Linked DNA regions of Notamacropus eugenii. The protein of the gene in region 1 interacts with the protein of each later gene in a pairwise test. Links are inferred from orthologs where the notes say so. Each region holds a gene or a part of one and is shown in the gene's direction. Other genes may lie near its edges. The genes, in order: MOS, HOMER3, MTMR9 and SEC24C.

Region 1 (6,202 bases):
GGTAACACGTAGATTTTATCTATCAATGACATTTCCAAAGAAGCCACCCCCCCTCATATCCTTTAAGTGGGGCCACAATCTAGGAACATTTCAAGTGTCGTAAGCCTTGAAGGAACACTGCTGTCATTTCTTTCAGTGGAGTAACTTTTAGAAACCTGTCCCCACCCTGATGGGAACATAAAGTTTAGTTACAGTTAGCTGTAGCCCTATCCCTGAACAGACTCTTCCCCTCATTAGTGCTTTTTTTAACCAATCTATGTATGTATGGCTTCTAGTCCCTTCACCTTGTTAGTTGCTTTCCTATTTCAGGTTGTTAATGTTCCTCTTAAAATGTGCTTCCCATCACTGGAAACCTACCTCCTCTCAAGCCTTCCCAACTACCTCAGCTTTAAAAAATAATGCCAGCTCACAGTTCAATTTTTTTTTTACATTTTCCCTCAGAACTATCCTCTCAGGTAAGTAGTGAACATTCCCATTTTAGAGATAAAAAAATGATTTGGAGAAGTTAATCGATTTGCCTAGTGACCCTGGAAATAAGTATTAGAATTGGGACCCAAATCCCAAGTCTCCTTCTACTAAACCAGTAGTTAAACTTAAATAGAAATGAGGCTACTGAAGGCACAAAGGATCCCTGTCTGTTGTGTGTTTACTTAGAAAGCCACATATTAATGTTATCTACGTTTGATTGACTTTATTAATTTTGCTAAATAGTCCCTAATTACATTTTAATCTGGTTCTGGACATAACAAGTGTTGTGGAATGGCTGCCTTTTTGATGATCTCTGCTTTGCTGTGCGTATACTACTCTGTAATATCTTTGTAATTATAAGGGGCAGCTAGGAGGTGCAGTGGATGGAGTGCCGGGCCTGGAGTCAGGATGATGTAAATTCAAATCCTGTATCAGACACCTAGATGCTCTATGACCCTGGGCAAGTCTCTTACTCCTGTCTGCTTCAGTTCCTCATCTGTGAAATGAGCCGAAGGAAATGGCAAACCACTCCAGCATCTTTGCCAAGAAAACCCCCAATGGGGTCACAGAAAATTGAGCAGGACCGAAACAAACAGCTCATCAACAGCAAATATATACATACATATATATATGTATATATACATATAAACCCACACACATATATACACATATTTACATGCATAGATACATACATATACACACATATATGTGTACATATGTATACACACATATATTCTCATTTTCCAAACTAAACTGTAAGCTCAAAGACAAAGGCAAGGATTGTTTATACTTTTTTTGTTTGTTTCCTCTACAATATTTAATACATCTTTCATATAAGGAGGGGGAATGTGCCTGTGATTTCCCTGTTATAGGGAACCTAACAGTGAGGAAACCCCCTCTACCAATGCACTTTGGTGCCTGTTCTGAAACTTACAAGTTGAGACTTTTGCCTAGAACTCTGGGAAGCTAAATGAATTGACTACTCAGGTGTCACAGAGGCAGTACTTTTCAGAGGCTGTACTTGAATACCCATCTTTGAGGCTCAGGTTAGTTCTTTATCCACTTTTGCACCTTGTTTATGATAGATTCTTAATCAATATTTGTTGAATGGATGAACCATCTAAAATTCATGACAATTCCTGACCTGCCTTTCAGCCAGGCACTACTTTAAACTAAGTAGAGGTGGATGGTTTTTGGGTGGGAAGGGAGCATTACACCAAGGATTTTAAAGCATTTCGTATCTGTTAATCTGCTAATGTTCACAATACTCCTGAGAACTCAATAACAAATTTTAAAAATTCTTTAGTGAAGCTCCTCCTAGTCACACCCAACTTCTCCATTCTGATTCCACTGTGGAGCCTTCTTTTTTTAATTGAGTAAAACGTTTGAAAAGTGTCCTTAGTTAGAACTGCCAGTGAGGAAGGCAGAATAGTGGTTTAAGTACTTAACTTAGATACTTACTGACCTGTGTTAGGTTGAGCAAAGAATATACTTAATTTTTGAGTCTCCATTTCTCCATGGGGACAATAATATATTACCATGTTATACCTGTGTCATGTAGTATTTTGTTTTAATTGGACCTGCAATTTTATCTGTATAAGGATGTCCCAGTGAAAAACTTCCTTTACTAATTGCAGACCAGTACTGTCTCTGTGAGTTGGAGGTCTTAGAAAGTTCCCTGGGGCATCAAAGGAGGAAGTGATTTGCTTACACCCACAAAACAACCCTTGTGGCCAGCTTTCTATCCTATGCTGCTTCTCAAGAAAATGCTTTGCACAACTTAAAATGATATACAAACACAAATTGTTATTACTATTACAAAGCAGAGACCTAAGGTAAACCAATTTTTCAAATAAGCAAATACTATTTATTGGCATGCACTTATACTTTATAATATGTGTGGTATTTGAAAAAAAATAACTGCATTTCTTTTTAAATAATCTATGATTTTACTAATTTGGGTGAAATCTCCTTATATCAATTAGATTTTTACTGTATTGAATTATCACCATTGTTTTGAATAAGTGGTGAGTTTAAGACCCATGGAAGTATTGTGATTTGTCTAAATCCACATAATAAGTTAGGAGCACACTCAAGCACAGAAATCACACTATAGAGCTGGGAGGACTCCCAAGTTAGTTGTGTCTGACTCCTTGTAACCCCATTTGAGGTTTTCTTGACAAAGATACTGGAGCATTTACCATCTTTCTCCAGCTCATTTTACTGTTGAGGAAACTGAGGCAAACAGGGTTAAAGGACTTTCCCAAAGTCACACAGCTATTAAGTATGTGAGGCCAGATTTGAATTCAGAAAGTTGAGCCTTCCTAATTCCATGCCTGGCATTCTATCAACTGCCCAACCAAGGTGTTTATTCTTATTCAGTTCAACAACCATTTAATGAGGGGCTCCTATTTTTTACACCATGAAATCACAGATCCTTGATATGTTGACTATGCACTACTACTATGTTAGGCTCTTCAGTAATATAAGGCAAGAGACCCTGAGCCCACCCTTGGGACTTTACCACAAAGTGGAAACACACACACACAACTATAATCCAAAGTAAAATTATTTAGGATTGGGATAGGTATAAATAAAGTTCTAGAAGAGGTCAGGAAAATAAGGGATTATTCTCCCATCTAGGGGGATGAAAGAAGGCTTCATGAAAGATGAATTCAAATACATCACAGACATGGAAATATAAATGCTCACCATAAACTTGTGCCCTTACAATACACATAAATACTCCAAGCAGGCTGGCCAAGTGACCTAACTCAGAAACAGAAAGTGGAGTTTTGGTTCCAAATCTAGGCTCTGATTATCTCCATAAGTTATGTTTTCCAAAACTGAGATAATACTGAACTTGGTGCTTTCTTCATAAAGCAGGCATAAAAAATTTTCCAATTATTCAGTAACAATAACTTAATTACTTGTTTTATGTGTGAGAGAATTGTGTAAATGAATGGTTTCTAATACCTTGTATTGTACTTCATGCATTTGCTCTACATAAGCATCAGAGATAATGCAGACTTTTTTAAACTTAAGTTTTCTTCTGCTTTCTACTGTATATTTAGCACTATTTGAGGCTATGACTATGATTTGATTCTTTATTCTTTCCCCTTTTGTTGCCAATTTTACTACAAGACTTCTGTAACTCATTTGTCTAGAATCTCTTGCTAGTGAACTCACTGGGTGGGCTGAATTGCTATGGTAGGTTAGAAGGATTGTAAGGAATTCCTTCTATATGTTGCTAAGAAGTATTGCTAATTTCCTCTCAATGCTGAATGGAATGTCAAAGCCTTAACTTTTTCCTGATACGTAAGGGAGAGAGCCTTGACTTATGGGTGTCACTGCTTTTGTTTATATCAATTACATTAACATTGCAATTCCTTACTGCTGAATATTGCACCTAATTGTTCCTTTAATAAGTTAAACAAATGTGTGCTGTTCTTATTTCAACTATTTCTGCCAGTAACTGCTGGCAGTTATTTAACGCAGCTGGAGACAAACGCTGACAATCACTTTAGCCTGAAAAGTGTGAAATAATTTCATTTCATTGTTGTGGTCTATGTAGTCTAAGAATGGATTTCAGCTGATGACACTTGGGGGAAAAACTTCCTTTTAATGAGGGGCATAGTAGAAAAGGGAACACGTTATAAGGTGAGCTGTAGGGCATATGCCATTGTTTAGGTGGTGAACTCAGGATTTTTTTAAAATAGAACTTGTGTTACGCGTTTGAGATCAATGCTTTAATCTGAAAGTGATTGGTTTTGCCCTCATTCAGAGACTGATCAAATCCCATCAGTAACAGATGCAGCTTATTTTGGGGGGGTTGGAGGGGTGGGAGAGGGGAGATGAAGGAAGAGGATAAAAGAGGCAGTGATGGATCTGAGTGAGCTGCCATTCTTTTTTCCTCTCTTTCTGCATCCAGACGCGCTGGTCCCCAGCCTCGAGTGCCCGATGCCTTCCCCAGTTCCCCTGACCCGCTTCTTTCCCAGAGAGTTCTCTCCCTCGGTGGACTTGCGGCCCTGCAGCAGCCCCCTGGAGCTCCCGGGGAGCGGAGGGAAGCTCTTTTTAGAGGGCACCCCCTCCCCAAGGGCTCGGCGGCTGCCCCAGAGGCTGGCCTGGTGCTCCATTGACTGGGAGCAGATACGCTTCCTGCAGAAGCTGGGGACCGGGGGGTTTGGCTCTGTCTATAAGGGCACCTACCGGGGCCTCACCGTGGCGATAAAGCAAGTGAAGAGGAGCAGTAAGAACCAGCTAGCTTCCAGACAGAGCTTCTGGGCCGAGCTCAACGTGGCCAGGCTGCGCCACAAGAATGTGGTGCGCGTCGTGGCCGCCAGCACTTGCACTCCTGCGGGCTACAACAGCGTGGGCACCATCATCATGGAGTACGGTGGCCACACGACCCTGCACGACGCCATCTACGGAGCCAGCTCTGTACCAGACGACCCGGAGCCCCTGGACGTGGGGAGATGCCTCCAGTATTCCTTGGACGTGGTCAACGGCCTGCTCTTTCTCCACTCTCAAGGCATCGTCCACCTGGATCTCAAGCCAGCCAACATTTTGATCGGGGAGCGAGAAGTCTGCAAAATTGGGGACTTTGGGTGTTCGCAGAGGATAGAAAATCTGCCGGGCTTGAGCGCCCGCCACTGCCACCTGGGCGGCACATACACACACCGCGCCCCGGAGATTCTCAAAGGAGAGGCAGTGACCGGCAAAGCAGACATCTATTCTTTTGCCATCACGCTCTGGCAAATGGTCACAAAGGAAGTGCCCTATTCGGGTGACCACCAATACATACTGTATGCGGTGGTGGCCTATAACCTCCGGCCACCACTCACATCCTCTGTCTTCACTGACTCGCTACCTGGCCAAAGACTGGAACACATTATCCGATGCTGCTGGACCGCTGACACGCTGGTCAGACCCAGCGCAGACTTGCTCCTGGGTGATCTTAATTCCTTGCACGCTTACTGGGCAGCCTTGAATTCTAGAAGTTAAGTCAACAAAAAGCTTTTCTGTGCGTCTGCTTATTTCTGTGTTTTCTCTTTCTCTTCACTTGCTTCCATGTGGAGAGTTGGAAATGTTTGGTGTTTTTTTCAATGTATTTCTTGATTGCAAGAAATTTTAGAAAATAAAGTGACGTGAACTTTTGTGGGTCTCATTTAAATGAGATTTACTACAGAGTTCCAAGTTCTGTAATTAAAACCTACTTCTAATTAGAAACTAACCTCTGAGCATTATGTCATTTTGAACTGGCTTTCTGCTGCCGCTTTAGTTTCAAAGCTCTTTAGGATTGAATACATACAAACTTACAAGTTGTGAAGCTGACAAAATTTGCTTTTATGAGATGGAACCCAGTTGCAGACATTCCGCAGCCAACTCAAATGCAGGCTGTTTTTGAAGAAATGCATTATGCATATATTCATGTAGTACTTCATTTTGCGCTTATGCCTTATCCATTAAATCCACACTGGGTCAGTTTCTGATAGATGTTCTTTTTCCCACAGTAGACTGGAACAGGTATCTTAAAAAATGTTTGACCTGAGAAAATCAAGGCACAGAGCTGAGTGACTTTTCTTGAGTCACATTCTTATTTGGTAAAACTGAGACTAGAATTTGTTTTCTAATTTCTAACTATTAGTCTCATGTTTTAAACTTCTGAGAAATTTATCATCTAAGAAATAGTTAATAGCCAACATTTACACAGCATTTGCGATGTGCCAGGCAC
Region 2 (7,748 bases), about 210 Mb from region 1:
TTTTCTCTTCTTCCTTTCTTCCTCCCTCCCTCCCTCCCTTCCTTCCTCCTTTATTCCTTTCTTCCTTCCTGATTCTTTTCCTTCCTTCCTTCCTTCCTTCCTTCCTTCCTTCCTTCCTTCCTTCCTTCCTTCCTTCCCTCCTTCTTTCCTTGCTTCCTTCCTCTCTCCCTTTCCTCCTTCCTTCTTCCTTCATACCTAATAAAAATACAAAAGCAATACTAAGGTCCCTGCCATGAAGGAATTTATACTCTGGCAGGTGGGGGGTGGGGCAGGAGGACCATGTACATAGAATATAAATTCCTTGAGAGTGTGGAACATTATTTCATTTCACCCTTTTTTTTAATAGCCTTGGAACCTACAGTGCCAGGCACATAGTAGGCTCTTAATAAATAATTTGTTTATTGATTAATGCAATAAAATTAAATTAAAAAAATATCCAAAGTAATTTCCCAGGGTGGGGGCAGGGGAAAGCAATAGCAGTGGAGAGGAGATTAGCGCAGGCTTCCTGGAGGAGGTGGTGGCCCCTGAGCAAAGTTAAAAGGAAGCTAAGGACTGACTGAGGCAGAGGTGAGGAGGGCAGGGTGGGTGGTTCGTGCAAACGTTTGTGGATGAGACATGGCATGTCACGTCCAAGAAGCCCAATCAGGCAGATGGGGGCAGATTGGGCAGTATTTTAAGAGCCAATCAGAGCACTTTGTATTTAATGCTCTAGGCAATCGGAAGTCCCCAAACTAGGAGTGACCTAGTCTTACCTATGCTGAATGAATCACCACGTGGCTGCTGGCGGGAATGGACCGTCTGGCGAGGAAAGAGCCTGGGAGCAAAGAGTCAGGAGGCTTTGGGCACAGTCCAGGTGAGAGGTGATGGCGGCTTGCATGGAGAGGCCGGTGGCTTGTGTGAGTAGACTGCACAAAACTTAACAAGTGGATGTGGAGAGGCCAGGGAGAAGACTGAGGATGTGAACCTGGGTGACGGTCAGGAAGGAAGGGGGTAAATCAGGCAGAGGCGGGAGGAGAGATGATGAGTTCCCTTTTGGACATGTCGAGTTTGGAATGCTAGTGAGTTCTGGGCTGGGAGTTAGGAAGACCTAGCCTCATTCTCACCTCTGGCACTCAGAGCTGTGTGACAAAGCACAAAGCACAACCTCTCTGAGTGGGTTTCTTCTTCCGTAAAGTGAGGGGGTTGGACCACAGAGCCTCTGAAGGCCCTTCTGGTGCAGATTCTCTGATTCTCTGATCCAGCTGGATCTGGCTGTTCCACTTTTGGTGATACTTAAGAGTAAGAATAATTCTGGATATAAAGACCTCGGATTCTTTGACATAAAGATGAGAGCAGACCCCCGGGAGCTGTGCAGAGACAGAGGACACCGCCATGGGAGGGGTGGGGCGGATGGGAATGAGGAGTAGTGGAGGGGCAAGAGGTAGTAGGAAAAGGATCCCCAAAGAGGAAACGGTGGTCAGTAGAGTCACTGGCTGGGAGAAGGGAGACAAGGGTGAGGCTTGAGGAAAGACTATCGAATTCAACAAATAAGTGATCATTAAGTGACTTTGGAGAGAGCAGTTTACATCGACATGTTATAAACCAGATCCCAAAGGGCCAACAAAGGAGTGGGCACAACTTTATAGGAGTTTGGCTTTGAAAGGGATCAAAGGCCAAGGCTGGGGAAACTTCAGCCTGGGGGTCACATGTGGTTCTCTAGGTCTTCAAGTGAGGCCCTTTGTATCCAGACTTCACAGAGCAAATCCCCTTAATAAAAGGAAGTTCATGAAGTTTGGATTTAGTCAAAGGGCCTCACTTGAGGACCTAGAGGGCCACATGTTTCATCAGGGTCACAGGGTCCTGGCCCTTGAATAGGTGATTGCTGGAGGGGATGGAAGGATCAAGTGAAGAGTTTTTAAGGATGGGATTTGGGGGCAGGATTGGGCCTTGGTTGTAATGGGTATTAAGGGGTCCCCTGAGCTTGTCTTTTTGAGTTGACATATTTTCCAGTTGTAATTCATGTCTCACAGACTTGTGACAGTGTTTTTGATTACTGTAAGTCAGAGTTGGATGGCATCCTTGAACAAAGAACACAGAAGACAGATTTTGGCATACTGTTGGTGAGAGGTGATGAGTGTCTGAAGCAGGGCAGTGACTGAGTGGAGAGGCCAGATGGGAGATGTCTTGTGTGAGTAGACTAGACAAAAGTTAGCAATAGATCAGGTGTGTAGGGAGAGGGAGAAAGGCTTAGATCAGACCAGATATCTTAAAGTAATTATATTAGCAGCAGAACCCAAAAGGACCTTGGAGATCCTTTATTGAATGTGCTTGTTTCACAGAAGGGAAAGCTGAGGGCCAGAGAAGGCCACTGATTTACTCAAGTCCCTTACAGATGGAATCAGGACAAGAACCTGATTTCAGCAATGTGTCATACGGAGACCAGGGAAGGCAAACATGGAGGGCAAATTTAAAATGATCTTCCCCAAAAGCCACACTGTCAAGAATTAAAAATACCCCTTGTAAACAAATTAAAATTAGAGGCTTCTGTGAACCGTGGGCCTCTCTCAATGCAATCACATATCTCTGTAACCTCTGCCCACGGACCAGATTTCATCAAAACCCATTAAAAAGTGATGAGAGGCCCTGCTCAGTAGAATTTTTGCTTAGAGATAGTGGCTAGCATTTTCCAGGGCACACAACATAGCTCAAATCTACAGCCTTTGTCATGCTTAATCTGCCCGTGTCAACCCTGTGACAGAGGTGGAACAGACTGTCCCCTCATTTTACAGAAGAGGAAAACTAGCACCCAGAAGGGGTCTCCTTAGGGTCTCCTTAGTCCACAGTGACCTCACCAAGGGATTGTGATCAGGCCTTCCCTAGGGAAGGGACCTAGTCCAACCCTGAAGTGACTTGTCTAAGATGACAGAAGCAGTAAGTGGCAGTCAGGATTTGAATCCAGATCCTGTAGACTCAAGTCCGTTATGCTTTGCAGTACACCATAAGTCTATAAACCTTCCTTATGAGTCCCTTCTGCAGCTCTTTTCCCCGAAGCATTTTGCTTGTCAGGAAAAAAAGAATGGTATTAATAATCTATAAGGAGAAAAGAAGTCATTGTAGTTCTGGGAGAGCAGAAAAAACAGAAATGAGTCTGAAGGGGTGTGGGGGCAGGGGGCCCAATTACAACCCACTAGGGAACCCTCCTCTTTATTGGGCCAAAGTCCTAATAAATTACTTCTAACCTAAGAGCTGTAGCCCTTCAGGGTTTTCAGTGAGCTTTCTATACATCATCTCATCTGGGATATGGAAGGTAGACACCCCGACCCTCACTAATGGGGGTTCAGAGAAGGTAAATGACTTGCCCACAGTCACTCAGTGGCCTCCACAGGGCCTGCCCAGTTCTGCTTCTGAACCCAACTCTCTTTCCAGCAGACCACTCCTCCTTAACTTGCAGTCCACTTTATCTCTCGTATTAGGTTTCTCCTCCCTCTGAGGCTGTGAGCCCAAGAGGGCAGGGCCTCCACTTGTATGTCACAGTTGTTAAATAAATTTGTTAAAAATTAAAGGAGCAAGGAAAGCATTAAGCAGCAGCAGGAAGGAGGAAAGGCACAGGATCTTGGGGGGAGGGAAGGGGACCTCCAAAATACAGTCAGAGAGGCCCCAACCAGCCCAGCCCAGAGTGGCCATACTGTGGAGGAAAGGAAGTTGGAAAAATTGTTAAGAGTGAGCTACAAGGGATCTGAGGAGACCTTCTAATATGATAGGAACATTTTACAGAGGGGGAACCTGATACCCAGAAAGCATCAGGAATATAAGGAATTTGAATTGAGGTCCTCCAACTCCAAAGCCAAAGCTCTTCTGGGCCCTTTCCCAGGGAACTGGCAGTCTGGGTAAGGGAGTTGATACTGACATACAGGAAGCTGAGAAGGGACACAGGATTCAGTGCGATTAAGGGCCGGAGGGTGGAGTTTCAATTCTGTGTCCTGGTAAAGCCTAGATAAAGGAGAGAGGGGGTTCGTGGGCCTCCGGTGACACTGAAGTGTGAGGAGAGAGAGAAAGAGAAAGAGAGGAGAGAGAGGAGAGAAAGAGAGGAGAGAGAGGAGAGAGAGAGAGAGAGAGAGAGAGAGAGAGAGAGAGAGAGAGAGAGAGGGAGCGCTTTGAAAAGCGGGCATGGCACTGTCTACAGCTGAGGGGTACCCTAGGACACCCACATGTTCAGTAGCCTCCTGAGCTCCAAGCACCCAGTAGGAGCTTTAAAGTTGGGACTGAAGGGTTCGGGGCAGGGTCTCTTTCTCAGTCAGCCAGTAAACACGACGCGCCTACTATGTGGCCGGCACTGCGTAAGTGTTTCCCCGCGGCTCTCTCGATACAATGTATCGCTGTGGCTGTCTTTGTGGCATGTGCTGGAGCCGGGAGGCGCCGCCTCCGCACCTCCTCCTCGCCCTCGCGGCGCCCCTGGCTGCCCGCTACGCCGCGCCACGCGGAGCCAGCCTTGACCACGAGGTGACCGGTCCCCACGGGGCGGGGCTCGGGTGTCCTGCAGGTGGCGCCGCTGAGCGGGCCCGAGAGCAGACAGATAAAGTCGGGGGGGCAGCGCGGGGCCAGGACCGCTATGGGGCTGGCGGCCGCGGGCGGAGGCGGAGGCGTTGGGGAGCTGGAGCTGGGGCTGGGGCTGGAGCTGGGGCTGGGGCGGGCGCTCCGGGAAGACAAAGACTGCGGGGCGGCGGCGGCGGCGGAGGCGGCGGCGGCGCGGGGCAGGGCGCGGCGCTGAGGCCGCCCGCCGGGGGCGCAGCGCGCTCGGAGCCCCGGCCCGAAGTTGGAACGACGCGGTGCCGGGAGCGCACGGGAGCCTGGCCAGCGGGAGGTCCGGGCAGCACGGGCAGGGGCAGCTAGCGGGTGAGCCAGCCTACTGGGGTACCCTCGGCGTTCCCCAAAGTTTGCGCCTTCGTGCCGCGGGCTGGGGCGCCGGGGGCAGCCCGGGTCTGGAGGCGCGCGGGGGTGGGGGGTGGGGAGCGCGGGGCATTGGCTGCCCCAGGGACCAGCCTGGCTCTTCTCAGCCCAGCCCGGCGCGGATACAGAGGGGGCGCAGCCCTTCCTGGGAGCTGGGGAGCAGGGAGAGGCTTGGGGAGACCGAGGTGGGAGAGGCGCCCCCTCCCATCCTCCTTATCTAGCTTCGAGGCTGGAGATGAGGGAGGTGAGGGACCCTGGCAGAGTCAAGGTCTCTAGCTCCAGGGCTGGAGATGAAGGAGAAGACCGCGGGAGGGGGGGTGCCTTGGGAACAGTAAAGGCTCCCAGCCCCGGGATTAAAAATGAGGAAGAAGATAGGGGGACCCAGAGTAAGGATCCCTAGTCACGGGGGAGATGAGGAAGAAAATAGGGGGGACCCAGGCAGAGTCAAAGTCCCCAGCTACAGAGCTGGAGGTGAAGAAGAAGGTGAGAGAGGCAGGGTTCCCAGCCACGGGGTTGCAGATAAGAGAGAAGATAGGGGGGCCTCGGGAAGAAGAAGAGTTCCCAGTCCCAGGATTAAAAGATAAGGGAGAACATGGAGGGGCAGTTTGAATAAGGGTCCCCAGTTCTATGGCTAAAGATTAGAGGAAAACCTTAGGAAGCAAGGGGGAGTCCCCGTTACAGTAGGGGAAGTAAGAAGCCAAAGGGGGAACCAAAGCAGCATGAGGCCCCCTGTTCTGAGACACTTTCTCGTCCTAAGCCTGGGCACGTTGGATTGGGGGCGATTCAGGGTGGGGGGACTACGAGAAGCAGCCTTCCCTCCCCCATCTTTGAGAACGCCTCTGCCCAGGGCGAGTTGTATGCCTCAACTTGCCAACTCCACTGTGGGCACCACCCCCTCTGTGCCCAGCCCAGGTGTCAGGAGAGGAGGAAACTGGGTGCCCCAATATCTAGGACCTTATGACCCTGAGCCTTGAGAAAAAGGGTTTCACTCCAGGGGCTCCTGGAAGCTGTGAGCTTGACCCCAGCCCAGGGTAATCAGATCTCCCAGCATGAACTCTCTTTCCATACTGGGTTGTGGGCTCTTGGGGGATTTTAGCTCCCTGACCCCCTGGTACATTGTGTCAAAACTCTAGGAGTTTGGAATGAGTAGACCCCTAGATCTCCCCCTTGCCTACCTTCTTTGTGGTTGAGGGTATCAAACTGCAGAATGCCTGATCTGGAAGGGACTCTCATCCAACACCCTGATTTTACAGAAAGGGAAACTGAGGCCCAGAGAAAGGAAGGAACTCACCCAGAGCCGTACAACAAGTGACTGGAAGAGCTAGAGCTAGCAGCTAGGTCTCTTGATTTCTATATGTGTTTTTTCTGTCCCAGTTCAGCTGATCTGACTTTTGACCCCAAAGAACTTTTTCAAAACAACTGAACAGCCAAAGAGAGTCCTGGGAGTGGATTCAAGCCAGCTGGGAGAGGGGGATGGGGCTTGCTGCCCTTTGGGATAGCTCCCCTCACCCTGCTCAGCAGCCAACTTCACCAGCCCTGCCAGGAGCACTGGTGGGGGAGAGGGGAGATGGGGAGCCCAGATGGGGAAGAGCCTGGCTTTGTGATTCATTTGGGAACACCAGGGGTGGGAAAGCTCCCAGGGAGCCTGAAGGAAGGGGGAGTAGGATAGACAGGGGTCTCAGTTCAGTATTTCCTTCTGGGAAACCTTGACAGGAAGCAGAAAGCAGGAAGGGGTGGGGGTTGGAGGTGGCAACATACAAGGATGGGGGTTGGCTGCCCCCCAAGGTGGGGGCGGAAGGGGGTCCGGTTTCAGGCTGTGCCCATGTGACCAGCACAGCTGCAAGGAGGGAGGGAAGGCAGGGAAGGGAAAAGAGGGTCTGGTTTGGGTGAAGGGAATCCTCAATCAGGCTGAAATACCCCAGACTCCCTTGGGATCATTCTCTTCACAGGACCCACAGGCTTTAGCCAATTTAAGCCCCTCTCTCTCCTGCCTAGACCCTGGCGGCAGGTTTGTGGGTGTGTTTGCATGTGTATATGTGTGTGCTGGGGGTGGGGGAGGTGGTATTACCAAACTGGGTTCCGGCAGGAAAACTGGTAATAAGGAGAATGCTGGATTTAAGATCAGGACCCGGGACTGAGTTCTTTGTATATGCCTTATCACCTGTGTGACCTTGACCAACTGCTTAATATCTCAGGGGTCTATTTCCTTCTCCATAAAATGAGGGGGTTGAATGAGGGAGTTTCTGTGGTATCTTTCTGCTCAGGACCTATAAAACCTATAGTACAGGTTCAAGGGCCCCATCAGCATTGTAGAATGTCTGAGGTATAAGGAAGGGTTTTATAAGTGTTGAATGAAAGTGATTAGGCCAGCTAGCTGTCTTTACTGCTTCACTAGGCCCCACAGGGCCCTCAGAGCTTTTGGTCTCTCTCCATCCCTGCCCTGTAGTTAGGGGAAGGGAGGAATACTTCATGGACCACCCCTAGGCTCTGCCTCACTTTTCCTCCCTCCCCTGCCAGCCTGTGGGGCTTGTGTGTTGGTTGGCTGAAGGAGGATCCATGAACAACCAAGTGTTAGTCAGTGTTGTGGGGGGGGGGATGTGGTGTAGGGGGCAGGATGAACTTTGTCCTGGGGCAGTCTCCTTGGTCTCCAGGACCTGGGTTGGAGGCCTTACGTTTTAGGGAGTGACAACAGCGTCATCCAGCCCAACTATCTAAACTTACAGAATAAGGAACTGAGGCCTCTTGGGGGCTCATTCAAGGTCGTATTAGTAATTAGTAGCAGAGGCAGCTTTCAAATTGAGATACTGACCCCAAAATCTACT
Region 3 (7,754 bases), on another chromosome or scaffold:
TCTCTGGCACTACAACTCCCCCATTCCCTCATGTGGGCTGATCTTCCATTGTATAGACCTTGGACTAGATTTCTCTTCATCATAGCCCTCTGAATCACTTTACCTTGTGCAGTTTGCCAAGCTGTGCCTGTCGTTTCAGGGCAAGGATAGTCAACAGAAAAGGGCTGACTGCCCGGCCAGCCATGGGCTGAGCTGCCACCTACTGTCCATAGAGTATATGAATGTAAATTGTTATTAATACTCCCCGTAGACCTGGACCCCAAGTGTTCATTTGCTTGGCCTCAGTCTATAGTAGATATAATTCTCTTGAATTAAGTACAGCAACATCTTGGCAAGCTGGATGGAAAGCATAATGTTGTTAATTCTAGCCTAACAAAGACCAGATTGTAAGCTCCATGACAACAGAACAGAATAGTACTCACATTTGTTGCTTAATAAATGTTTGTCGACTTGAATTCAATTCTCCTTTGTATGCTATTGTCATCATCATAATCATCATCCCTCACTTTGGACAAGCTTTCAGTTTAAAAAAAATCACAAAATTAAAAAGCACTACAGAAAGTTTCTCTGATCTGAATATTATAATGATGATGCTAGCCTATTACATTTGTGTGACATTTTATTGTTACAAAGCACATTGCAGATGTCATCTGATTTAATCCTCAATACCATTAGGTAAGTAAGATATATTGTGACTCCTTTATAGATGAGGCAACTGGAGCTCAGAGAGAGATCAAGTGATTTGCCAAATGTCATATTGCTAAGGCAGGTTTTCTTACTCCTTTCAAGTTGAATGTTCTTTCTATGATGCTTCCTTCTCACAATAGAGCATCTATCTACCTATTGTACTTACTCCTCTATTTTCCCTTCTTAGAGTCTCTTCTCCCAAACACTCCTTGTTTTGAAAACAACTAAAAAAAAAATCTGTTGTTCCATCCCTCCCATTGTTTTCTTCTTCTCTGAAACAGCAAGCTAGGGTACTGATTATTTGAGGCCTCTAAGAATCAATTTCATAGCTAGAGATAAAATGCTCTATAGAAACAAAACCTAAAAGGTAATTTTAAAATTAATTATTTAACCTACCTGTTTATTTTTACAGAATGAATGTGCCTTGTCCTAGATAAAGCACTAGCTTGGGTTAGAGAACAGGAGAACAAGCAAGAGTTTAGCATTGTTTGGCATGCAGCAAACTATGGCAATTATACCTATGTAGCCAGTAGGAGGTCCTTTGGGCACATTTTACAGTCCTTCAGGGAAATCCTGGAGCAGTACTCTGGGGCTACCTGGAACACAAAATTTTAAGTCAACAATAAACCAAGTATTTATTAAGAACTTTCCATGAGTCAGCCACTGTAATAAATGATGACACGAAAATAGTTCCTCCCCTGGAGACGTTTACATTCCAAAGGAGGAGACATTATATAAACAACTATGTACATTCAGGATATGTATATAAGGTAAATTGGAGGTGAAGACGCTAGCAGTGAGGGAGAACAGCACAGAAAAAGTGTCTTGTACAAGGTCAGAGATGAGCTGAGATTTGAGGGAAGCCATGGGAGGCAAAAGGAAGAGATAGGAAGGGAGAGCCTTAATTCCAAACAAAACAAAGCAAAGCACTTTGTTCTTTGGGTTCAGGTACTTAAGAGTACACATATATGTATAAAACCCATAATTATAGAATATACGATTTCTTCTGATAAGTAACACAGGCAGACCTTAACACAGGGTACAATGTTTAATAAGCAATGATGCCCTATAACCTATAATCACTGGTTCAGCTATTCAACAAAATGATAAAATCCATTAGCCAACCTCAGTCTTGCTGAGTCTCTCCCTGACACCTCTGAGAGTAATGCAATCACTCTGAAGTTTGAATCCTTTGAAGATCGGATATCTTGCCTCTCCAGGTAACAGGCTCCTGAAAGTATCCTTAGAAAAGAGCTTTTCCAACCCCCTTCAACTTTACCATTGAGGAAAATGAAACTCAGAGAGATTAACTAATTCACCCAAGGTCCCCCAGAATCAGAGCTAGAACTCCATCCTAGCTCTCCAGATTCTAAGTTCAAAATGCTCCCATGAATCATGATAACAAAGTCACTTCCACATGAGGCCCATTTTAGGTGAGACCAAACAGATATGTTCTTCTCCAGAGAGAAACCAGCAAAAATGTTTCTACTTGTTTAAATTTGGCCAGAAGGGAAAAAGCAGTAAAAAGGCAAAAAAATGTATATGTGTTTGTGATAGGGATTATCAACCAGATTTGAGGCTGCCAGGAACTAGCAGATGGCTGCCTGAACTGAGGAAGACTGCCTAGCTCCCATATATCTTTTCTAGCAAAAACCTGAAATTTGCACCAAACTGAAAAAATGATTATAAAATCTAATGAGAAACTACAATAAGTGACTTATTCTCTCAAAACTATACAAATAGCCATCCAGAAACTCATAGGTAATAGGAAAGGGGAACATTAGCAAAACCAGTACCAGCAGAGGCAAACAAGCCGGTGGCCTTCCAGTGTTGCCAGTGAAAGTACTGTGTGCAAAGCCAGCAAAAAAAGAGGAAACCCTCCCAAGAAAGCTTTGAGTTGTCAGAAAGCCCATGGAGGGTCAGAAAAGAGCAGGAACCTTGAAAGTCATCAGGCGTGGCAGTGATGGGTATGATACTGATACTCAGACCTCCATGGACCCCTAGCATTGTATTCTGCTTTTCCAAATTGGGTCCAAAAGATCCAGAATCCAAAAGATCTCTGAAATCTAAAGATGGGGGGGGGGGGGGGGGAGGAGGCTCTAAGCCCAGGTGGTAGAGGACAGCACAGGATCCAGGGAACATAAGGGAACAACAAACAGAGCCTACAACCTCACCCAAAAGCAGAAGGGAAGAGAGGATGACTCTTGCACAAAGCTCTAATTCAAGTACAGAAGTTGGACAGATGAATGAACCAAAAAGGACACAGATCAAAGAAGAGAGAGATAGAATATAAAAAATTACTATAGATCCAGAGATGCTCTCCTATCAAACTTGTAAAGAGAAAGTCACAACACAAAGTATGCAAATAAAGACTCAAAGAGAAAAATGAATTTTCCAAAATGATAATGCAAATATCTAAAAGAAAGAAAGACATACAAGTAAAATAAAAAGGTCTGAAGGAAAGAATTGAAAAGAAAATAAATAACTTAAAAAAGAAAATGGTAAACCTTCTCCAAAAAATGGACTCCCTGAAAACTAGGATTGACCAATGGACCAAACAGAAATCAATGACTCCACAAAACAGCAAAAAATATTAGAACAAAATCAAAAAGTTGGGGGGAAAAAGAAGAAAATGTAAAGTATCTGATATTTTTCAAGTGATTTGAAAAACAACCGACTTGGGAAATAGGTCAAGAAAAAGAATTTAAGAATTATTTGACTCTTTGAAAATCATTTCTTTTTAAAAGCTAGATCCTGTATTTAAAGAAATGAAAACCACTCAGAGCTCTTGGAAGCAGGGGGCAAAATAAAGTTAGAAAGAATCCTTAAAGTTATCCTAAAAAAAAAAAAGTTCCAGAACTTTGGCAATGTTGTTGCCAAAAAAAATAGTTGCAAGCATCCAGAAAGAAATACTTGTACCAAGGAAAGGTAAGCAGAATTGTACAAGACCTGGCAACAAGAAGGAATAGTGGGATACAGCATTCTAAAAGACAAAAGAGATGGGGTCACAACAGAGAATAATTTACCCAGCAAAGCTGAACATACTCCTGGAGGAGAGTGGGGAGGGATGGGGCTTCATTGGACTCGATTTTCAACCATTTTTGATGAAAAAACCAGAAGTAGAAATTGTGAAATACAAACAAAAGAATCCAGAGTAACCTAGAAAGGCAATTTAATTTGAGCAACTGGAAGAGGACGTGCGGAATTCATGACACTTTTTCAAATCAAGAATAAAAAAAAAGCACGCGAATGACATTGACAAGGCTCACGTGCAACCTCTTTAATACGAAGGGCAGGGGTGGGGGAGGGGTGGGAAGAAGCATGTATTAAACGCCTACTGTTTTCATTTTTTTTTTTTTTTTATCCAACCCTGCGGGGTGGTTACTCTTAGGATTCTCATTTTACGGTTGGGAAAATGAGAGTGAAGCTCTTTGCCCAGGGTCTCCCTGCTAGCTTTGGAACTCAGGTCTCGCCGAACCCAGGTCCGGCGCACTTAATGCCAGCTCCTGATGCCCCCTACAGGAAGTTATTCTCTTTTTCACTGTACCGCATCAGTCCTCTCTGGGCTTCAGTTTCTAGGGTTGGAGCAGACGACATTTAAGCCCTCCAATCCGCAGGCGCATGTTTCAATCACGCGCGATACGACCGTTGGCGTCACCGCCCGAGCTTCGCACCGTGGGCGGCCTCAAGTGGGCGGCCCCGTTATTCCGGGGCTGCTGAGGCTCAGGGGAGTCAGGGTGGCAGGGACAAGACTTCCCACTTACTTCCTCCCATCGGGCATGAGATGGGTAGGAATTTAACTCTGAGGGCACCGTTTCCGGTCACGAGACTCACAAACCTGGTTTCACAACTTCCGCCCGGAGTCGACGGAGGGCTCTGAGCGTCAACTACTTCCTCCCGGAGTCGACCGAGGGTGCTGGGCGTCAGCTACTTCCGCCCGGAGTGGACAGCGGCCAGGAGATGTGCGGGCCTTGAGATCCCGGCTCCTTCCCAGCCCCCCGGAAGAGGACCCTCCCCTCCCCCGGGTCCCCTCAGACGGGGTTGCCGGGGGAAGCAAGCTGGTGGCCGCTTGAGACCCCGGCTTGAGCTTGGTGCGGGAGGTGGGACCCTCCGGACCAGGCCCGCGGGGCCGGCCGCCGGGGGCTTGAGAAAGCAGGGGAGAGAGGACGGAGCAGGCCCCGCCGCGCCTGCCCCGGGCCCCGGGCCGAGATGGAGTTCGCGGAGCTGATCAAGACTCCGCGGGTGGACAACGTGGTGCTGCACCGGCCCTTCTACCCGGCCGTGGAAGGCACGCTGTGCCTGACGGGCCATCACCTGATCCTGTCCTCCCGGCAGGATAACACCGAGGAGCTGTGGCTGCTCCACTCCAACATCGACTCCATCGAGAAGCGGTGAGCCCAGCTCGGAACGACGGCCCCTGCGGGCCTCGCTTGCCTCGTCCGTTACCAGGGTCAGGGGCGGGGCAGGCTGGTCCGGGCGGCCCTTTGTGAGCCCCCCACACTCCTGCCCGGGTCTATTGTCCCTCTCTTTGTATTCCCTGGTTTAACCCGGGGCTGAGCCCTGAGTCGGCGTTTAGTAAGAGTTCCTTAATGTGTTTTAATCTCCAGCCTGGAACAGACGGAGAATGCTTAAGAAACGAGGGAGTAGTTTTCCCCCTGTCTCCAAAGCAGCTTCTGCCTTCCTGAAGACCCTCCTGAGGATCTGGATTGTAGGAAAGGGGGGAAGCAGGAGTAGTGGCCCAAGAGGGGAGCCTCGTCCTAGGCCACCTGCTGTCCCAGCCATCCGTTACTCCGAGGCATAGCTTCAAGTGGTTCTTTGTTAACTTGAATCGTTTGGGATCATACACCAGGTGTCTTTACCTGTTGTAAAATTGAGATAATAATGCTTCCTCGCATACATGTCTACGGTAAGGTAGGATCTGTACACTGCTTTTGACAGCTGAGTGAGACTGGAGCTTTGGCTCTTTCGGTTCTAAGACCTGTCTGAGCCATCCTCTGTCTCTTGTGTTGGGTTATCTTGCTCATCCTACCACTTGACTAGCCTTTTATGCCCCCAAGGCGTAATGTTTATATTTTTAGTTTTATAGCTTTAAATTTCCACCTGGATAGCTAGTTGATATTAACTATGCCTACCACTTCCCTTTTTTGTCCTGGATCCTCTTTTCTTTTATCTTGGTCAGCTTATCAACTCCAGGAGGTTCAATTATCCTTTCTAGCTTGACCAGTCTCCAGTATACAACTAGCTCTAACTCCTTCATTGGACTTCAGTCTCACATCAGCAACTCCCTACTGGACATTTGGGACTGGATAATCCATAGACATCTCAAACTCAGCCAAAACATTATCATTATTTTTCCTCCTTCCCATCCTCCAGTCTTTAATGAACTTTCTCATTTCTCTCAATGACACCACCACTCTTCCGGTCATCCCAGTTTAAAATCTGAGACATCCTTGACCCCTCACTGTGCCTTCCTCCATTTATCCAGTTAGGTGCCAATTCTTATTTCCATCTCCACAACCTTTCACATCTGTTCCCTTCTCTCTGTTACTAGTTCAGGCCCTATATCTTCTGGATTCTTGGTAGCCTCCTGATCAGTTTCTCCTTTCTTCAGTCTTTCCCCTCTTCAAACTCAATAGAAATTGATTGATCTAGAAAACCATAAGTGAACATTGTTTATGTTGTATTTTTATTTCCCAATTTTTCCAATTCCCAATCCCAACATTTCCCAATTACATTTTAATCTGGTTCACTCATTTGATACCTCTGCTCTACACAGCCACTGAAATACTATTCCTAAAGCACTTTGTCACTTCCCTTTCCTAAACTCCAGAGGCTCTTTTTTCTCTGTAGGATCAGTAAAGTCCTTTGGCTTTTAACTTTGTATCCTGGCTGCCTTTTCTAGACCTGTGGTATCTAACTACTCTGCACATACCATCTACAGTTATTCCGAATTGCTTTCTTGTTCTTTACACAGGGCAATCCATTTCCCATCTTCTAGCCTTTGCTCACTTTGTTTGTCACTCTATCATTAGGTGAGATAATATGGTCTTTATAGTCAACTACTTCAGCTTTCACTGAAAGAAATAGGTCTTCCCTAATAGGTTCTGCCCTGGGCAGAATTGTGAAATAGAGACAATTTAGGTCCAAGTCACCTCTCACTTTTGCAGTCTTCAGCCTAGCTGTCTTTAAAATTGTCCCCTCTTGGACTCAGAAATTAGACTTGTAGAATGTTGGAGGTGAGAAGGACCCCAACTCCTTCATTTTGCAGATGAGGAAACTGAAGCTCAGAGAAAGGAAGCAGTGTGCACAACTAATACTGACTAGCTGTCTGGGAGGAAATTTAAATGTTTGACAGCAGCCTGATGTGTCCCACATACAGGGAACACTTAGGTTTTAAACCAGGATTCTTAGAAAGGCGGTGCCTTAGACAAATATCTAATGGGGAAATTTCTGGTGGGAGAACTTAGGAAGGCCTCTTTTCCTTCAGATTAGTAAAGTGGTTACTCAGTAGACCTTGTTTCCCAATATAAATGGTTGTAACTTTTGTCCCTGGCCTTTTTGGTTCTTCACCTCAAATATTTATCACTTGCCCCAAAATTGAGTGCCTGTGTGTCTGTGTGTTAGGGCTAGGCACTGTGGTGTTTGCAAAGAAGAGATATAAAGACTTTCTACTTTTTCTGCACCCACACAAGCTCTTCAGCTTATATTTCAGTAGAGGAGACAATGTACACAACTCACACAGCCTTATTTCAATCCTCCCTTTCTCTTTACTGTCATGGCTATTCTTATTACTTTGCCTCTCTGAATGCCTTTAGTTTTTCTTCGACCAGCCTTCCATTCAGAAAGAAATAAAAAAGAATCATAAGCCCCAAACCATCACAATGGAAACATTTTCCCCCATGTCCCTTGTTATTTTTTACATTTGATAAGAGGTCTAACTTTATGTCTGTCAGATTCTTTTATCATGGTTGTATTTGAATTCCATTAATTTGCCTAAGTGACATTGTCGTTTCCCTTTTTTTGTTTTGCTCTAGATCTGTGATTTCATCTGTGTGGAAACACCTTCC
Region 4 (7,468 bases), on another chromosome or scaffold:
AGGTAATTTTCTTTTATACTTTCTTGAACTATAAAGTCTCAGCTCTTTTTCTTTGTTAGTGATAGTTTTCAAGTAGTCCACTGATTATTAAATTATCTCTCTTAGATATGTTTTCTAGGTTAGTTGTTTTTATTATGAGATATCTTAGACTTCCTTCTATTTTTCAGTCTTTTTTTTTTTACTTTGTTTTGATATTTCTTGTTATGATGAGTCATTAATTTCTACTCGATCCATTCTAATTTTCAGGGAGTCTATTACTTGGGAAACATTCTGTACCTCTTGCACTAAGTTATTATTTCTCTTTCAAAGTTTTTCATAGCTCTAAGTTCTTTTTTTTTTTTACCCATCCCTTCCCTTATTCCCATCTCCTCCATTTTCTTGTAGGGCAAGACAGATTTCTATACCTCATTACCTGTATTTCTTATTTTCCAGTTGCATGTAAAAACAATTTTTAATACTTGTTTTGAAAACTTTGAGTTCCAACTTCTCTCCCTTCCTCCCTCCCCACCTATCCCCACCGAGAAGACAAGCAATTCAATATAGGTTATACATATGTAGTTATGCAAAAGACTTCCATAAAAGTCATGTTGTGAAACACTAACTATATTTCCCCCTATCCTATCCTGCCCCCCATTTATTCTATTCTCTCTTTTGATCTTGTCCTTCCCCAAAAGTGTTTACTTCTAATTACTCCCTCCTCCCATTTGCCCTCCCTCTTATCATCCTCCCCTCACCCCTCTTATCCCTTTCTCCCCTGCTTTTCTGTAGTGTAAGATAGATTTTCATAGCTCTAAGTTCTTTTCCAATTTTTTTCTTGAACTCTTATTTCATTCATAAAATCATTGTAACTCTTTTAAAAAAACCCCAAACTCTTGCTTCATCTCTTCCACGAATTCTAGTTGAGTTTGTGCCCAAGCTTGTGTTTTTCTTTGAGGCTTTGCTTGTAAATGATTTGGAGTCATTCTACGTATTAAGTCTCTTTCTCCAATGTAGACTTCACATGGCTGCCAAAGTGATGCCATTCCTAAAGTACAGGTCTGACCTGTCATTTCTTTATTCAAGAAATTTCTTTGGCTCCCCACTGCTTTTATGATAAAATGTAAACTTGAGTATTTGACATTTAGATCCCTTCATAATCTAGTTCCAATCTATTTTTCCAGGTACTCATACTCCAGCTAAAAGGGTCTACATACTGTTTTTCCTACATGACATCCCAAATCCACCTCCAGGTCTATGGACCATGCCTAAAATGCTCTTCTTGGACCTTGTAGCCTTTTTTGAAGTTCAGTTTAAGTGTCTTTAAGAGTTCCTTCCTGATTCCCAAACTTGTCGGTAACTCTCTTACCTCCAAAATACTTAGTGTGTGTGCGTGGGTTTATGTGTCTATATGCATATATGTACACAAACACACACATATGCATGCACATACATACACATATACGTATGAAATAAATATATCACATAATCTTGAGCTATTCTCCCAACCCCTCCTCTGAAACTAGGCACACAATAGTCACTAAATAAATGCTTGTTTGCTTGATGTAGCTACTGTCCAGCTGTCCCTTCAATGCTTGGGGTCCCCAGAAAAGGAGAGTTTCCATTAAAGAAGATTGGCTAAAGTGTTCTTATAATCAATAGTCAAGGAATTTTACATTAGGCTGCTAAATTTTTTTTATATATTTATATTATCTATTTGTCTTATGCTAGCTATGTTTCATGGGCCTCAGTTCACTTATTTGGAAAAATGAAACAACAACAGCATTTATATTACCTACCTCACAAGGTTGTTGTGAGGAAAGTGCTTGTAAATTGTAAAGGGTTATAAAAATGTGTTTCTTTAATGGATCAGTGATAAGAGATTCTCTCCACCAGTGCAGATCACAACCCATGCACACTTTAAATCATCCACGATTTTTGTTCCTGATCTCTTTTAAATTCCTGCAAAATGAAATTCATGTTGTATAGTAGAAATACCATTACATCCAGAGTAAGACAGAACCTGGGATTGATCTTCAACTTTAACTTACTAGATATGTAATAAGCAATTCACTAATGTTTTAAGTCAGTTTCCTCACCTTTAAGATGGGAAAAATAATACCTAAAGTACCTCCCACCCATAGGGTTATAATGAAGATAAAACCTATATATAGTTCTTTGTAAAATTTAAAAGTGCTATATGAGTATCAACTATTAGAATTATCTTCTATGGAGGAGCTATCCACTGTGCTAGAAGCCTTCTGCTATAACCTACCTCTGCAAGCCACTACAAAATTACAGATGCTCCAAGTTAGAAGGCACCTCAGATACTACCTACTCCAACTTACATTTGTACAGAAATCCTCTCTACACTATCAAGAAGGGTTCACCTAGTCTTTTTAAAACCTCTAGTAAGAAAGAATTCACTACCTCCTGAGGCAACCAATTCTACCTCATTTTGGATAACTCCAAACATTAGGAAAATATTTTTTACAGAGAACTTAAATCTGCTTTGTAACTTCTGTCTACTGCTCCTACATCTGTCCTCTGTGGCAAAGTAGAACAGTAAATCCCTCTCCCACATACAGTCCTTCAAATACATGAAGACAAATAACATGGCAGCTAAGTAAAAAAACACTGTGCTGGGAGTTAAGAATATTGGATGTAAAATCTGAGCTCAGACATATACCCAGCTGTGTCAACTTGGGCAAGTTGCTTAAACTCCAGTTTCCTCATCTGTAAAATGGGGACCATAATAGCACTTACCTCAAAGAGGTGTTGGAGCCTCAAATGAAATAGTTCAGTGCTTGCAAACCTTAAAACACTGCATACTATATATGTTATGATGATGACAATGGTGATGTCTCCACCAGTTTTTCTTCTCCAGGCTATATATTCCAACTGATTCTTCCAACTGATCATATTGTCTCTAAAGCTAGAGGATCTTTATTGTGTTTATTTGGTTACTCTTCGTTTTGACAAGGTCATTCTTGTATTGTGCTTTCTAGAACTCAACACAATACTCCAAATTAGTAGAAATCTGGGCAGGGTATGACAGCATTAACATCTCCCTAGTCCTAGGCTTTAGTCCTCACTTAACACGTGGTATCCAAAATCATGTCTCTGTACATTGTACTTTGAATCTCCTACAATTTTGATTCTTTGGCGATTATACGCCCAGTGTCTTGCAGCACCACTGGGAGAATACTGTGGGACATAAAAAATATTGCTCGTACTTATTATATGTTCTCATCTTTTTTTTATGGAGATAAGACAGAAATTATTATTATTCCTGAGAAATATTTTTTATCTTTGTCAGTGGAGTTCAACTAGAAACTGTCCTGGAACAAGTCACTATCCTGTCATTTTCTTTTTATGTTCAGTGTAAAATTGTTTCTTTCTGTAATGGAATAAAAGTAATTACAATGTATCCTTCTGTAGACTTGCTGAAAGCATCTTCGGCTCTGTATTTTGAAAGCTTTTTATTCCATGCAGTTTGGAGATTATGCATGAAGACTGAGTGTGATTTATAGCTATCAAAAACTTCTTCTCAGATTGTATGGGCCATGTTTTAGCACTAGTGAACAAGAGTCTGATTTGGGATAATGCTCCAGTTTCAGGACAGTTTGCTGGTTTAGTTCTCAGGGATACGTTGAGGGGTTTGGGCTACGCCAGCTCACGAGAGACGGCAAGTTTCTCTGATGTGTAACTGTAGCCACCAGGTCTCGTCTTGTTAGTCTTTGTAGCTGGTAGTCGCAGTTTCTCTTGTTTTCCTTATTATCAGGGTCACGGATGCCATCAGCAGCACCAGCAGCGCGTCCCCAAAACATGAGTTCTTCAGAATCGGGGACAGTACATCCCATTTCAGATAGGAATTCCCTGACAGGAGAGTCCGTAGTTAGCTAATCTACGGGCTCTTTCTATGTGCCCATAAGCGTACTAGGTCTCTGGGATGTGGTTAGGAAAGGGAGGGGTGCCTGTCCTCGAAGAGCTTCTATTCTACATACAACGTGTTTCTGCACGCATCCAAGCAACCAACAGGGGGCGCTGCCGCGTAGGCTTGGGCTCGGCCAAAGAAAGCCTCCGCGGGGTATGGGGGTCGGGCCTCCACGCTGAAGTCCCCGGCGCCAGAGTCTCCCTGGGTTCGGGGGTGGGGGGGTGAGAGGTCATGAAGACGTCACAGGAGCGCTAACGGGGCGTCCATCTCAGCTGCCGAGTCTACCGCCGGCGAAGCTTAGACTTTAGGTCCGTGGAGGGGGCGGTGCTAGGGGAAGGGGCGGGATGTCACGGCCCTGACACAACATCATCGCAAGAGGCGGAAACACGTCAGAAACAGCAAAGCTTCCTCCGCCGCCGCCATGACAGGGAGGCGGCAGCGGCGGTGTCCGCGCAGGCGCAACATCCGGGTCCGTTCGCCTCGTCCTAGTGAGGACGTGGCAGCTCCGGAGGCCGAGGCCTCCGTGCGCGGGGGAGGCACTTCCGGCGGCGACAGGACGGCCGGCTCGGAACCGGAAGTGGGGCCTGAGAGTCGCGACGCCGGGAGCGCAGCCGGGACAGGCGCTGGAGCCGGAGCCGGGTGAGGCCCTCGAGACGGGGGAGAGGTCGAGGACAGGGGGGCCGAGAGGAGGCTGGGGAGTGACGAGTCAGACTCCACGTCCTGGGGGCCCTTCCCGAGCGAGCCCTGTGCGCAGAGGAAGGGAGGAGCCCGGGGGCGGGGCTGCGGCCGGGCGGGAGTGTACTGGGCCGGGACCCCATCACCACCGGCCTTCACTCCCTTTGCCTCAGCCCGGGCCGAGTGCCCCACCTGGGCCGGCCTCCTTTGGTCCCCCGAGTCTGCAGCGTGGGGGTCACCCAGCCCGGAGTTCTCTTTGACCGGAAGAGGTGATCCGATCCAGCCTGCCCACCCTCCCACCCTTTAGCCCCGGCAGTCGGCTGCGGACCCACCGTCAGGCCGCTTGGGTCCTCCGGGTTCTTTCTCTGCCTTCCGAGTCCAGGGGAAGCCGCCCCGCCCCCTCGGGAGTGGGACCCGGCTCCCCCCTGGCGTGTGGCTCGTCTCTCTCCGCCTCCGACCTCCCCTTTTCTCCTGCTGACAGCCCGTGCCGCAGGGGTGGCCGGAGCGCTCCTGCTGACCCTTGCCCGGAGCAGGAGGGTTGGAGGCGGGGCGGCGATTAGGCTTGCTGCTGCTAAACCATCAGGGCAGATGCTGTGGGGTTGTTCGTTGGACGTTATTTAGCCTTGCTCTGCGCTGGGCACTGGCAACGCAGAGACAAAGTGATCATCTCTCAAGCATCATGAGTCTGGTTGGGTTGGGGGGGGGTGAAGAGGAATCTACTTGAATTGTATTGTGGATGTAAGTAGTCTTTCTGAACTGATTGTGTCAGCGTGAGCCAGGCTGGAGAAGTACCAGACAACTTGGAAATTGGGGTTACTGCGAACTGTTCGCACAGTGAGAGACAGGGTAGGGGCTCCAACCGTATCCTGACTCAGAGCAGAGACTCACAGAGGACTTTGTTCCAGAGCAGACATCTAGGTAGTCTCAGCCCTGCTTTGGGCCCAGTGTCACTTCCATATGATGCAACTTTGGAAAACTAGTTTCTGAATCTTGCCTATCCCCTTTCCCCCTTTTTTCCTGCTCTGCAGGTGATTCCAGGTTGGGGATGCACTCAGGATGAATATCAATCAGCCAGCTCCCCCTGGGGTGCCGTATGGACAGCCTCAGCCTGGCTACGCTGGATATCAGTCCAGCTACGGTGGGCAGCCAGGACCTATGGTCCCCCCTAGTCCTTATGGAGCTTACAATGGTCCAATGCCAGGCTATCATCAACTGCCTCCCCCAGGTATGTGTTTGAGTTACTTGTAAGTTATGAGGTGGTGGGGGCAGCATCGTATTGAGGAGCTTTCTTTATGTGTGCCACTTAGCATCTCCTCTTTCCTATTTCTGGTTCTTGTTCACCTTTGTGACATTTAATGGGTGTGTAGCTTCCATGTTGTATGTATTGATAATTCACTGCTTACAGGTATCGCTATGAGGTAGTATTCTAATTTCCTTGGACTTCCCTCCAGTCTGGGCACACTGGCAAGAACTAGCCGGGGAAGGGGCATGGCTACCTAGATACCCAGTTGCTTTACAAGACTGGGTGGTAGGAGCCTTGTTGTTCTGTGTCCTATTTTGGTCTACCTTGAGAATTCCTGAACTGTTCCTGGTGATTGGGTTAGGTTCTTCAGGATTGACTAGGTATAAGGACTGGAGGAACTGGATGTTTGATAAAAAGGATAGAGTTTACACATCTGAGTTTGTGGACCATTTATAAATTGCTGCTGAGATCATTTGCTTCTGTCACAGCCTTATTTCAGGCACCTTGGTCTTTTGGGTACCATGTGTGTTTGGAGGACTTTGAAAAATCACTCTGACATTCAGTATAGGGTTCATGTTTTATTAGAATTCTCCTTCAGGAAGTGTAGCACTGATTGTGTGAGCAAATGGGATTCTGTATCTTATTTCAAGTAACTCAGAGGAACATTTTAGAGAAAAGAATACATCTTTGGTGTGTGCCAAACTCAGTTTTTTTAATGGCAATGAGGTGAGACCACTGAGGACTGGTGGAAGAAATGTGAAAAATGAGAACAAAGTATTGGAATTCAAAGTTGGCAATGTAGAGACTGACTTGAGGTGAAAAACAAGTTCTCAGATTTGTAATATGTCCCTGCTCTGTTCTGGTTTGGGACTTTGGTCATGACAGAGTCCACCTGAGGCTTCTAATTCCTAATATATCACCAGTGCTTTCCTGATAACCCTGTGAAGTAGGTAAAATAAGTGTCCCTGTTTTCCAGATGAGAAAAATGAGGCTTACAGTGTTTAAAATGATTTGGTCTCAACGCTAGTAAATAGAACCACTGGAACCAGCCCTCAGGTCTTGACTTCTAGGTTCTTTTAAATATGTCATGATGCTTCTGGTTTATCTTGTCTCTTCTGGTGTCTCTACCTCCACTGAGAGCAGAACAAAAGAAACTGGGCTAGTTTTGTGGAATAATATTCTGATCTGGATTAAGGAGACTTGAGTTTCACCTCTAGCTCTGATGGTTACAAATAATCTATATATGACCTTAGGCAAGTCATTTTAATTTCACTGAGTATTGTTTCTTTATTATTTGAGCAGATTAGATTAGATGATCTCCAAGGCCCTAACCATCCCTTAAATTCTGTGATGCTAACTGTGAAGGCAGAACAGAAGTGGTAGAAGAAATGAATATGGAGTTTCTTTATGGGGAAAGGGGGAGTGACTGGTGGAGCTGCTCTTAGAACTTCTTAAGGGTGTAGAGGGAAGGTTATTTCTTTTCTTAGAGATAGAAATGGATTCATAGGATCATAGATTTAGATCTGGAAGGGTCTAAGGGTTCATCTAGTCCAAATTCTTCATTTGATAGAGTTGGAAACTGAGGCCTGGAGAATTTAAGCAGTTTGTGCAGTCACACAGTATGTGTTAGAGCTGAA

Evidence for each region.
Region 2: the proteins of MOS (region 1) and HOMER3 interact in binary tests that used the Homo sapiens proteins (3 or more experiments, as listed by UniProt). The two-hybrid records come from large-scale screens. The link is inferred for Notamacropus eugenii from reciprocal best matches to the Homo sapiens genes MOS and HOMER3.
Region 3: the proteins of MOS (region 1) and MTMR9 interact in binary tests that used the Homo sapiens proteins (3 or more experiments, as listed by UniProt). The link is inferred for Notamacropus eugenii from reciprocal best matches to the Homo sapiens genes MOS and MTMR9.
Region 4: the proteins of MOS (region 1) and SEC24C interact in binary tests that used the Homo sapiens proteins (3 or more experiments, as listed by UniProt). The two-hybrid records come from large-scale screens. The link is inferred for Notamacropus eugenii from reciprocal best matches to the Homo sapiens genes MOS and SEC24C.

What each region holds. Positions count from the first base shown.
Region 1 is NC_092875.1:274,297,466-274,303,667, reverse strand, and holds MOS (proto-oncogene serine/threonine-protein kinase mos), read left to right. Parts: upstream 1-4,092; 5' UTR 4,093-4,350; coding exon 4,351-5,472; 3' UTR 5,473-5,701; downstream 5,702-6,202.
Region 2 is NC_092875.1:66,413,322-66,421,069, forward strand, and holds the start of HOMER3 (homer protein homolog 3), read left to right. Parts: upstream 1-4,727; 5' UTR 4,728-4,872; intron 4,873-6,179; exon of another isoform or gene 6,180-6,310; intron 6,311-6,875; 5' UTR 6,876-6,942; intron 6,943-7,748. UniProt on the Homo sapiens protein: Postsynaptic density scaffolding protein. Binds and cross-links cytoplasmic regions of GRM1, GRM5, ITPR1, DNM3, RYR1, RYR2, SHANK1 and SHANK3.
Region 3 is NC_092872.1:610,944,297-610,952,050, forward strand, and holds the start of MTMR9 (myotubularin-related protein 9), read left to right. Parts: upstream 1-4,751; 5' UTR 4,752-4,896; coding exon 4,897-5,078; intron 5,079-5,229; exon of another isoform or gene 5,230-5,593; intron 5,594-7,754. UniProt on the Homo sapiens protein: Acts as an adapter for myotubularin-related phosphatases. Increases lipid phosphatase MTMR6 catalytic activity, specifically towards phosphatidylinositol 3,5-bisphosphate and MTMR6 binding affinity for phosphorylated phosphatidylinositols.
Region 4 is NC_092872.1:236,685,433-236,692,900, reverse strand, and holds the start of SEC24C (protein transport protein Sec24C), read left to right. Parts: upstream 1-4,462; 5' UTR 4,463-4,552; intron 4,553-4,735; exon of another isoform or gene 4,736-4,857; intron 4,858-4,908; exon of another isoform or gene 4,909-5,506; intron 5,507-5,616; 5' UTR 5,617-5,644; coding exon 5,645-5,813; intron 5,814-7,468. Other genes in the region: SYNPO2L (synaptopodin 2-like protein), read right to left, coding at 2,743-2,898. UniProt on the Homo sapiens protein: Component of the coat protein complex II (COPII) which promotes the formation of transport vesicles from the endoplasmic reticulum (ER).